3 linked regions of the Mus musculus genome follow. The protein of the gene in region 3 interacts with the protein of the main gene of each other region in a biochemical or structural test. Links are inferred from orthologs where the notes say so. Each region holds a gene or a part of one and is shown on either strand. Other genes may lie near its edges.

Evidence for each region.
Region 1: the proteins of Chek2 (region 3) and Ppp2r5a form a complex in vitro, tested with the Homo sapiens proteins (2 studies listed by BioGRID and IntAct, with this or other methods). The link is inferred for Mus musculus from reciprocal best matches to the Homo sapiens genes CHEK2 and PPP2R5A.
Region 2: of the proteins of Chek2 (region 3) and Ppm1d, one has a biochemical effect on the other in vitro, tested with the Homo sapiens proteins (2 studies listed by BioGRID, with this or other methods). The link is inferred for Mus musculus from reciprocal best matches to the Homo sapiens genes CHEK2 and PPM1D.

What each region holds. Positions count from the first base shown.
Region 1 is NC_000067.6:191,394,620-191,398,365, reverse strand, and holds the start of Ppp2r5a (serine/threonine-protein phosphatase 2A 56 kDa regulatory subunit alpha isoform), read left to right. Parts: upstream 1-1,324; 5' UTR 1,325-1,949; coding exon 1,950-2,130; intron 2,131-3,746. UniProt on the Homo sapiens protein: The B regulatory subunit might modulate substrate selectivity and catalytic activity, and might also direct the localization of the catalytic enzyme to a particular subcellular compartment.
Region 2 is NC_000077.6:85,309,815-85,313,560, forward strand, and holds the start of Ppm1d (protein phosphatase 1D), read left to right. Parts: upstream 1-1,439; 5' UTR 1,440-1,658; coding exon 1,659-2,109; intron 2,110-3,746. UniProt on the Homo sapiens protein: Involved in the negative regulation of p53 expression. Required for the relief of p53-dependent checkpoint mediated cell cycle arrest.
Region 3 is NC_000071.6:110,870,854-110,874,599, reverse strand, and holds the end of Chek2 (serine/threonine-protein kinase Chk2), read right to left. Parts: intron 2,574-3,746; coding exon 2,493-2,573; intron 1,121-2,492; coding exon 1,034-1,120; 3' UTR 460-1,033; downstream 1-459. UniProt on the Homo sapiens protein: Serine/threonine-protein kinase which is required for checkpoint-mediated cell cycle arrest, activation of DNA repair and apoptosis in response to the presence of DNA double-strand breaks.

The sequences.
Region 1 (3,746 bases), on a different chromosome or scaffold from region 3:
TGAAACTGGCTTATTCAGCCTAATATGATTATCTCCAGTTGGACCTATTTTCCTACATGTTATTTCGTTCTTTATGGTGGAAAAATATGTGTATACACACCATATTTCCGTTATACATTCTTCTGTTGTTATATAATTTGGTTAAGCAAATGTTTTGAGTGTAGGTTTAGAACTCTACTTTTGCATACTTCTCGATCCTCCTCAAGCATTAGGCCAGCCTACTTAACCTCCGTTTTTATGTCAAAAGGAAAAGGTGTGGGACTTGCAGAAGAGACTGCAGAGCAAAGGGGGCACTATGGGCAGGCGGGATCACTTTCTGTTGAAGCATCATACGGATGCCCAAAGCTAACATGAGCAGTTCTTGGCTTTAAATATAAAACTTAGACGGAATCTCTTAGGAAGAGATTCCCCAAATCAGCTAATCTGAACTTGACTACAGATGACTGAAGGGCCTCAGCAGAAGAGGTTAAACTTGGGCTAAGTTCGAAACGGGAAACTTCTTTTCAGAGGGCCTAGACTTGCAGAGCTCTCTGAAGTGGTAGAGACGAGCTTGCCCAAACCCCACGCGAGATCAGCGATCAGCGAACCGCGGCGCCAAGACCTCGGGAGCTACAAATGGACTCCCCAACCACCAATTACGCGGTTTAGGACCGGAGAGGAGAAGGCCCGCCCAAGAACGTAGCCCCGCGCTCCGATTGGACAAGCTCATTTCTCTCCCGGGGCTCCTTCGCCTGTCAATCACGTTGCTCTGACACGACCTTGGCCCCGCCCCCGTTCGACTGACGCAATGCTTGGTGTTCTTGGGCACCCCGGCCCTCGCTTCATGTTCTCATTGGTAAGCAGGGCGCAAAGAGAGGGAGGACGCTCTTCTGCTTTCTGAGCTGCCTGTGTAGTTTCCCTCTTAACGCGCTGTCTGGAGAACAATCCCAGCCTGGAGCCTAGCGCAGGCGTACACAAGAGCCGACAGCGGCGCGGCGTTTCCCCTTTCTCCCTCCCGAGAGCTTTCCTTTACAGTTGTGACGCACAAGGCACCCCGCTCACTGCCTTCACTTGCGATTGGTTGTGGCCCGCGTCTGTCACGTAGCCCCTCCCTCCCACCCAGCTATGGACTCTTGATAGACAGCCGGGAGGCCACGCCCCCACCCCCGTCTGCCGCTTAGCCCTGCGATTGGCCGAGGGCACTGGCATGCTTTCCCGCCCCGGCCCCCTCCGGAGACTCCGGAGGCTAGTGGGACCCCGCGGAAGTTGTCAGTCAAACTCCTTCCTCCACCCCCCGCGAGGACCTCCCCCGGGCCGCGGGAGCGCGCACGCACGCGCACCGAGTCCCCCCTCACCCGAACCAGCCACCCTCTCAAGTTGTAGCAGTTGCTTCCCGGGCGTGCTCCGTGGGCGGCCGGTGGGCGCGGGAGGCTGAGCGAGGGCGACGCTCCAGGGATCCAAGGATCCAAGGATCGGGGTACGGGTGGCCGCCCCGGGCGATGAGGGGCCATCGCTGACAGGAGAACGAGCGCTCGGCAGCGGCTCGCGCGGACCCGCGATGGAAGCGCCCCGGGAGGAGGCTCCCGGCCGGGCGGACAGCGCGGGCGGCAGCCGCTGAAGACCTGTCCGGACTCCGCGCGCTAAGGGGCCGCGAGGCGCGCCCGGCGTCCGCACCCGCGCGCTCGCCCCAGCCGTCCAAACTTCGGGCTCGCCTCCGCCCGCCCTCGTCGCCGGGCGTCAGCAACTTGTGCGGCCCGCGCGCCCCCGCCCTCCCCTCCGCCAGCCCCGGGAGGCGGCCGCGCGGCGCGGGGATGCGGCCGTGAGGCGCTGTCGGGTGAGGAGCAGCTCGCGGAGCGCGAGGGCGGCGCGGCCGGGGCCCGGGGCGCAGGGGCGCAGGCCCGCCGTGCCCGTCCCCCGCCGATTGCCCGGGCCAGCCGCCGCGGGAGGCGCCGATCGCCCGGGTCGCCGAGATGTCGTCGCCGTCGCCGCCCGCACCAGTTGCCTGCGCCGCCATCTCGGCCTCGGAGAAAGTGGACGGCTTCACCCGGAAATCGGTGCGCAAGGCGCAGAGGCAGAAGCGCTCTCAGGGCTCGTCGCAGTTCCGCAGCCAGGGCAGCCAGGCGGAGCTGCACCCCCTGCCCCAGCTCAAAGGTAACCCCCGGCCGCCCCTGGCCCGCGCTCCCGGGGCAAGCCCTACTCCCCTTCCCACCTGCGCGCTTGCCCCGCCTGCCCTTGCCTTGGCGATTTCAGGGTCCCCAGAGGTACCTGCGCTCCCTTCCCTCGTCCAGTCTTTCGACTCCCTGCCTCGCTGAGCCTCAACCCTGGTTTTCTCCAAGCTTAGCTAGTTCTTCTCTTTCTCTGTTTGTCCCTCAGTTGTCACATCCAGGGTCCAAACAAACTGCTGCCGAGTTAGCTGGCCTTTAGACGTAGCTATATAGAACTAGCTTAAAACCGGGACCAGGTGACAGATCTTACTGTCTCGTTAGACGTAAATGTTATACCTCAGAAGACCTCGATTGTCTTTGGAGAGGTTATGAAGGAAGAGTAATTTCTTTGCCGTGGAACGGGAACTTGGTTAGCGCGGCTATGCTTCCAAGGACTTTGTAAGGTTTTGTAAGTAATTCAGATTGGTATCCGTGCCTAATGCCTCGCAGGAGTGCTTGGCACTCCTTTTGGCTCTCTTTTCTCACCCGGTTTGGAGGCTTTTCATGAGTTGTTTACTGGCGTTCTTGCTTATTCTTTGAGAATTACTGGCTTTTAATTTAATAATTTTACGTCTTTGCATTTTATGAGCTAGATGTCATTAATGGAAAAGATGTTTATGTTCCTAGATATTTAAGAAATTCTTTGCAACCTGATAGAAACCTAGAGAATGAGTCACAAGGCCAAGAAATAAAAGAAAGGCTCATGCCAAAATAGATAAATGATCAGCAGATTTTTCAATTCTTTTGACAAAGATCCAGCATCCCTTTCAAGGCCAATCTGGTTGTGATTTGTCTTTGAGTCTATGAATCCTGACTTAGTTTGGCAAGGAGTGTAAAGAAAACCCTAGATCAAATCAACAGTTGACCAGCAACAGCTTGGAACCCCATTTAAACTCTACATCTGCCTCTCGGGGTGCTTCTGAATTAAGGATATACCACTGGTAGAATCACACAGACTTTTGAAAATAGTTTATGTTAGGTGTGTGGTGTCTCATTTGTTGCTTTATTGCTCTTTACCATACTAGAATTGTTCAAATTGATACAGCACTGTCAGTGGAGTGCAGCCATAGCCTAAAATAACTCTGTCCTACCTGTTAGGATAGTGAATTGCTACTCAGAGGTTTAAGCTTTTATACTTAATTAAGAGTTATTTTATCCTTTGTTTTTCATTAGTTTATCCTGTTAATTTTAGTTTGAAGTCTCGATACTAGCATTTTTCTTATGTATCTAATTTGCTAACGTGGTTTTCTTCTTCTTAGTGTTGTACTTCTTAGTTCCTCTGCTAGTAATTGAATTTTAAACATCTGGTTAGTCTTGAGATGCCTCTGTAGTAGATTTTGCCTTTAAGACGGACAGAAATCCACAGAATCAGTAATCAGACTCAAAGTTACCTGATGTTTGGTTGAAGATGTAGCAGGAACTGCCAATGTTTTCACATACAGAATTTGGTCAGTAGTAGAAAGAAATTGAAATTTGCGTGTATAGTGTTCCCCATAAGGTATTATTCATGATAAACTGATGCAGATTCGATTGAGGAAGTAAAACTTTTTACTTGAAAATAAA
Region 2 (3,746 bases), on a different chromosome or scaffold from region 3:
TTTCAGCACCTACAAGGCAGCTCACAACTGTATGTAACTTCTGTTCCAGGAAATCTGACTCCCTCACACATACAGGCAAAACACCAATGTACATAAAAAAAAAGTAATTAAAAAAAGTTAAGGCCCAGTTATTTCAGAATGCTGTTTTAGGGGAGTGGAGAGATGGCTCAGTGGTTAAGAGCCTGCACTGCTTTTTGGTTTGGAGCGCCTATCTGGCTCACAACCACCTGTAACTCCAGTTGTAGGCGGAGGGTTGGGACTCCACACAACATCCACAGAGATACACACATAATGAAAATGAAATAAATATTTAATGACAATTTTAAAAGGAATTGTCTTGGGAGGTATAGAAACTGTTGTTGAAAGGCAGGCCAGCATAAAGCCTTTCCTTGTTGTTTGCATTTCCCATGCTGCTGTAAATAAGTTTCCATTACGCTTTTTGTGAAATCTCAAAGGCTGTACAGAAAATAATAAAGGAACACGTTGACTCCCTCAAAAGAATATGGTGCTAAGAAAATATTAAGTTGATCACTCGAGAACTTATTTCAATTTCGTGGAAATCAGTCTAAAAGCATTCATTTTGTTGTTGGGACTGTCAACTTCTGTGAACGGAGGGAAATAACCGTGTCTTTAGGGCATGGAGATCCTGTTGTATGCTCCTTTTCCAAACGGTAACTTAGATTCTGCAGTAATAGCTGTATTCAAGACGAGTCCGAAAAAGTATTAACGACGCTGAAAAGAGGAAGAAATATGCAAAATACTTAAAAAAAAAAAAGGGCTGTAAAGTGTTAGGAATTAAACTCGCCGACAGGTCTCCGACCTAACGTTATCGCGGAAAACAGGGCTGTGCAACTGGCGGTGGAAAATTCCAAGTCTTCTTAAGTAAACCCGACTGCTTCCCTTAACTCCCAGCCGGACAAGTCCCACCCAAGCCAGTTCACGCGTGCTACGCTGGTCTAGCGCACGGACCAACGACTTTGCAGGGCATTTTCGCGCCATTTCGCTTGAAATAAGTGGAAGGTCAAGTCTACCTTTGACCTCTGCAAATTTTCCACAATCGCGGGAGGCAAAACTGGCTCTGCAAAAGGACCAAAGGGGAAAAGCCAGAAGTCTCACGTTAGGGATTTAAGGGGAAAAAAAGATGACAGGTTGAGGCTTCAGCCGCTTAGTAACAGCGGAAAACCCCCAGGGTACAGAAGCCCTAGGCTGGAGAAAACAAACCGGGCAAGGAGCGCGCTCCCCCGGTCGGCGGGCCGAGCGAGATCAGCGGTTGCAGAGAGATGCGGGGGTGGAAGGAGGGCGGGGGCGAGCTTGCTCTTCTTGACTCCTGATTGGTCTGTCTCAGCGAGCCGAGTGACGTCATCAGGAGAAAGGGGGGGAAAGAACGTCTGATTTGTATGGTGGGCGCGGGCGGGCGGGGAGCGAGTTCAGTGCGCAGGCGCAGCTGCTCGGCTCCTCTCGCCCGCGACTCGACCGGCCCAGCTCTCGCGGACAAGTCCCGACATCACGCGCCCCCCCCCACCGCCGCGGGGACCGCCTCCTCTTCACTCTCGGCTTCGTCGAAGATAAACAATAGTTGGCCGGCGAGCGGCGAGTGTGTCTCCCGCCTCGGAATTCGGCGGGCTGCGTGGGAACGGCGGGATCCCGGGCAGCCGGCCATGGCGGGGCTGTACTCGCTGGGAGTGAGCGTCTTCTCGGACCAGGGCGGGAGGAAGTACATGGAGGACGTAACTCAGATCGTGGTGGAGCCCGAGCCGGCTGCGGAGGACAAGCCGGCGCCGGTACCGCGGCGGGCGCTCGGGTTGCCGGCGACCCCCACTCTCGCCGGCGTCGGGCCATCGGAAAAAGGCCCGGCGGCGGCCCGCGACCCTGCCCCGGACGCCGCGGCCTCGCTACCCGCTGGCCGCTGCTGTCGCCGCCGCTCTTCGGTGGCCTTCTTTGCAGTGTGCGACGGGCACGGCGGTCGGGAGGCGGCACAGTTTGCCCGGGAGCACTTGTGGGGTTTCATCAAGAAGCAGAAAGGCTTCACCTCGTCCGAGCCCGCCAAGGTGTGCGCTGCCATCCGCAAAGGTTTCCTCGCCTGTCACCTCGCCATGTGGAAGAAACTGGGTAAGTTCCCCGCCCGCCTCTTTTTTTCTTTTCTCCCCTTATCCCCCTGGGCTTTTTATAGCATCAGCACCGCGTGGGCCTCCCCGGTACCAAGAGCGCTATCCATCAAGCGACGCTGTCCAACAAGGGATGCGAGTGAAGACTGTCATGGTTGGAGTTCTAGGCACACCGAGTGGCCTCGGAAACGCTAGGATGGCTTGTCTCCCAGCAACCGCTCCTTGCATTATCTCCTCCCTCCTACGATCAGGGGGCAACAGTCTCCCCTCTCCCTTCGCTAATTCACTTTGGTAGCAGCACGCTCAGAAGTGTTTGAATGCCGGCGCCAGATTGTAACCGAGGGATAAATTTAAGAAACGTTTCTACACGGGCTAGGTGAAAGAAGCAGGAGGTGGCAAGAATTGGAGCGTTCCCTTAGCATCTGTCATAATTTTGTTCTTGTTGGGCTTGTTCCTCTTGGTTGCCTCCTACCGGTGGTGTCACTTCTTCAGATTGACCTGAATGGCTCTGGCTCGATGTAAGTCAATTTAGAAGGGCTGAAGTGTAACATAGGCAACTTACTTTTGTGATAGTGTTTTGGGGTAATCCCTTGAATTGTTTATGAGAAAGGTGTGCAACGTGTTAAATATTAAATTGGCTCCATGTTAGGGGCATGTGTTAACTTCTTGGTGTGTGTGTGTGGGATACTTAGAATTGCATTCAGTTTTCCAAAAGTTCATACTGAAAAGCACTCATGTCACTACTCATCAAAGTAGTTTTTGGTAACAGGTATTTTAATTCCTAAAAGTTAAGTGTGATTGTAGTCCCATCTAAATTTTGAATCTCTCTGAGACAGACAGTACTTCTGTAGATAACAGAAATGCCCGAGGGTTATATGGCTGCTTATTTTGCCCTGGGTATATGGTGCATATTTTTGTTACAGAAAAGAATTTATGTTCCTGCCACTAAAAACCCTTCGTTTATAGTGGTGTAAGAAAGTCACTCTATTTTCATTAAAGAGACAGAGACTCAGTGCTGTTACAGATTTGTAAAATACACAGTATTTTTAGAAAGGCATTGTCATACAGTATAGGCTAGCTGGTTTCAAATCTGTTTTCCATCTGTTGGGCCTTTTGCCAAGTATTTGATTGACTTGAAGACCAGCCACTGAGGGTTTTGGAGGCAGGTCCCAGCAAATCCCTTGGGCCCCTATCATGGATTTATTTTGTTTTCGTGTGGGCTGAGTAGAGCTTGAAAGCATTGTAGTTTATTCTAGAAATGCATTATATTATTGGCTGAAGAGGAATTAAAAGTGGATAGGGAGACAAAGAAGATTAAGATTAGACACAAAGACCTATTACAGAGTTCATTTATTTTGCAGTACACTTGGGGCATATGAATTTCCCATATGCTTTAAAAATCAAAAGCCTTTAATAGTTGAACTTTAGCTAGGTGTGGTGGTACATGCCTTTAATACTAGTCCTTGAGAGGCCAAGGTAGGCAGATATCTCTGAGTTTGAGGCCAGCCTGGTCTACTCTACAGAGAGAGTTTCAAGGACAGCCATGCCTAGTAAAGAGACCCTTTCTTTAAAGGGGGGGAAAAAAAAGATTGACCCTTCATATTGAAGTGTGGTAGCTAATGCTGGTAATCCTAGCACTTG
Region 3 (3,746 bases):
GAGGGAGAGAGTGTGTTTAGACAGAGAAAAAGTTTAGAGATAGAAAAAAAGAGTTTAGAAATAGAAAGTTTAGAGAGTTTAGAGAGAGAAAAAGAAAGTTGGGAGATAGAGAAACGAGAGAGAGAAAGAGTTTAGACAGAGAAAAAGTTTAGACAGAGAAAAAAAGAGTTTAAAGATAAAAGAGAAAGTTTAGAGAAAGAGATTGTTTCTCTGTGTACCCTGGCTGTCCTAAAATTTGCTCTAAAGATCAGACAGGCCTCAAAGTCAACTCAAACATTGTCCTGCCTCTAGAGTGCTGGGATCATAGGTGTAGATTACCATGGCCAGTGGGACTTGGACCTTCTAAGGGACTTTTAGAATTTGTATTTAGACGGATGAGCCTAAAACCAGAGTGACATCCTGATAGGGCAGACTGGCAATGTGAGGATCCAGATGAAAAGCCACAACAAACTACTAACATTGTTTTAGAATATTCTTTTTAATGATTATGTGTTTCTGTGTACATGAACACATGTGTAGTAGGTGACCAGAGAGGCCAGGTGAGGGCATCCGATCCAGAAATGTAGTTACATGGGTGCTGGGAACTGAACTGCAGCCCTCAACAGGAGTGGTGTTAATCTCTCAACACCACCCCCTAACATTTTTCTTAAAATGAAAGAAAGAAAGAAAGAAATCTAAAGTGCAGGTCATCAAACAATCAGCCCAGATTTCCACGTTTTTTAATCGTGTATCTGTGATGGAAAAGCAATTGTTCCATCATATAGGCTATTTTGTTTTGTTTCTTGTTTGTTTTTTTTTCCAAGACAGGGTTTCTCTGTGTAGTCCTGGCTATCCTGGAACTCACTCTGTAGACCAGGCTGGCCTTGAACTCAGAAATCTGCCTGCCTCTGCCTCCCAAGTGCTGGGATTAAAGGAGTGGGCCACAACTGCCTGGCTATATTTTTTAAAAAATATATACATATAAAAAAAAGATGTCAAGATGGAGAAGACAATTGGAGCGTGGAAGGAAGCACATTTCTTTCACATTCAAAGCTCACAACACAGCCCCACACACAGACAGGCGTTTTGTGCTCGGCATACCCTCCACCTCCAGTTCCAGGGGCCGCTTTTGACTGGAAGTCTGGAAATAAAGCAAAAGGAGAAGTGTTTAAGAGAAAGCACAGCTTCTATCAAAGCTCCTCATAGTTCAGTAAACTAGGGGCATTTCATGGAAATGACTAGTTGTCATGACAACCGAATCCTCCTCACACACCTCTGGAATCAAGATGCTTATCCATGCTCCCTGGCGATTTCTAACCACTAATAAATGTACAGCCACTTAAAAAAAAAAAAAAAACCTTTCAAGTGACACAAAAGCAAGTTCAAATTGGATCTTTCCTAGCAAAATTCTGGGTGAGGTATGATTGTAAAGCAGCCAGAGCTCCCGGCTCCCACAGGGTTACCAGGGAGCTCACACACGCTACTGTGCCACACCAGCTATTATCGTTAAATGCACTTTCTATTTAAAATGCCTCCATTTGAGATGAGTTCCTCAGAATATGATCCCACCGTAGGCTGAAGTATATCCGAATGTGGACAGCAGGCAGCACCAACAGCTTTGCTTGGTTGCTGTCTCCTGACACTGTCTACTTATAGCTACTTAGACTTTTCCTATTCATAAATTCAAGAAAGAACAGTAAGGAAAAAGGATCGAGATCACTGACCAAATATACCACTGATCAGGTATAACTTACAAAGAACTTGAAAATGATAAAACTGCAATCAAGAAACTTCCTCTCCCAGCACTTGGGAGGCAGAGGCAGGCGGATTTCTGGGATCGAGGCCAGCCTGGTCTACAGAGTGAGTTCCAGGACAGCCAGGGCTACACAGAGAAACCCTGTCTCGGAAAAAAAAAAAAGCAAACCAAACCAAACCAAACCAAACCAAACAAGAAATTGCCTCAATAAAACCATGGTAAAGCAAAACTTTTACTTTCTAACAACAGAAAGTTTAAAACAGAAACCATCATAGACTACTTACCCAAGTCTTACACTTTCTGAAAACTTAAATTCGTGCCTCTAACAGGATCTTCCGTCTTCCGTTAGATTGGCAAGCCCTATCTAATGTTCCAATTCATTCAACATATCCTGCGTTATTAAGTCTTCCAGGGCTGCAGGAGCATATCAAAACAAAACGCAGAAACACTGGCTCGGGCTGGAGGGCTTACCTAAGCAGCATTAGGCCGCAGGTTCAATCCCAAGTACGGCCAGCAAGTAGAGACGATATTACTACATGATATTATGCAAGCAAGCTGGCCTGTGGGTCCCATTCCTCCTGCCTCTGTTGAGAGTCAATGCCCTATCTCAGCCTTCTAAGAGTATATGTATGTGTCACTAAGCCTGCCATTAATCCTTTTCTTAAAAGCTGAGCACCTGCCTCCCCACGGAAAGTTCAGTCATCAGACTTGCTCATCGGCAACTTAATCCTAGACCACAGTGAAGTCATCAGAATACCTGGGCGGGAGCCACAGGGAGGGTCACCGAGTTCTTTTCCTGCACCAGGAGATCCTGAAATTTCTTCTTCATGTACTCATCCTGTGAAGAAATCAAAAGGTATATAGAGATAGGCTGCATATAAGGCAAAGCAAGCTCCCAGAGTGACAGGGAAATGCCCAAGGCTACCTTCCTGACAGCAAACCTCATACCTTTGCAGAAGTTTCCTAATGAAGGGACTTGGCTGTTCGCCTCTGCCTTCTTGGAACAGTCTGTGCTCAATCAGCACTCGCTACATCAAACTCAAGGGTCCTGGGCTCTTAACCAACCAGAGAACCAGACCCCAGCTATGGTGCAGAACCAGCAGCATGCTGTGGGGAACACTAGTCAGGAGGCCAGAACACAAGGTTGACACTGTGCCACCCCTAGTCCTCACAGAACCAGACCCCTCCCTCCCTGACACAAACAGAGCTAATTTTGCAGGTCATCTGAACAGCTAATCCAGCAAGTGAGAAGCAAGTTGACAGATGAGCCAGAGCCTAAAAAAAACCTCGGACCCACATCTCATGGAAGGGATGGCAATAAACAGGACCAAATACTGTAGGTATTCTGTGCTATAGGAAGGAGAGGTGGAGCAGGGGAGCCATAAACAAGGAGAAATCTTCTCCAACACACGTAACTAGCTCCCGCTTCCCTCATGGTAAAGTCCCACAGGGTTCAAGCACAAGCACGCAGAAGCTCTGGGAGGCAGCCTGGCACTGTTCCAAGTTCTCAGAAGCATAAAACATCTAGGTAGAGACTAGAGAGAGATGCTCAGAGGCAAGAGTGGGAACCGCTCTTGCAGAGGACCTGCATCTGGTTTATAGCACCCACATCAAGCACCTTACAAGCGTTTGTAATCCCTCAGGAGCAGGGGATCTAAGTCCTCTTCTGGACTGTTCAGGCATTGAACTCACACATACACATGGTCTCACTCTGTAGCCCAGGCTAGCCTGGGATGAACCACTATGCAAACCAGGCAGTCCTTGAATCACAGAGACCTGCCTGTCTCTGTCTCTTCCTGAATGCTGGGTTTAAGGAAAGCACAACTATGGCCAGAAAAAGAAATCTTTAAAAAAAAAAGACTGCACACACCTCAATCATAGTAGCCAGGAGGCAGAGGGAGGTGAGTTTTTGTGTGTCTGAAACCGTTCCCATTTACACTTTGTCAACTTAGCACCCCATGCACTTTCTCTCTCTATTTTTCTACCTCTCTCATGGCATCAAAGATAAAAG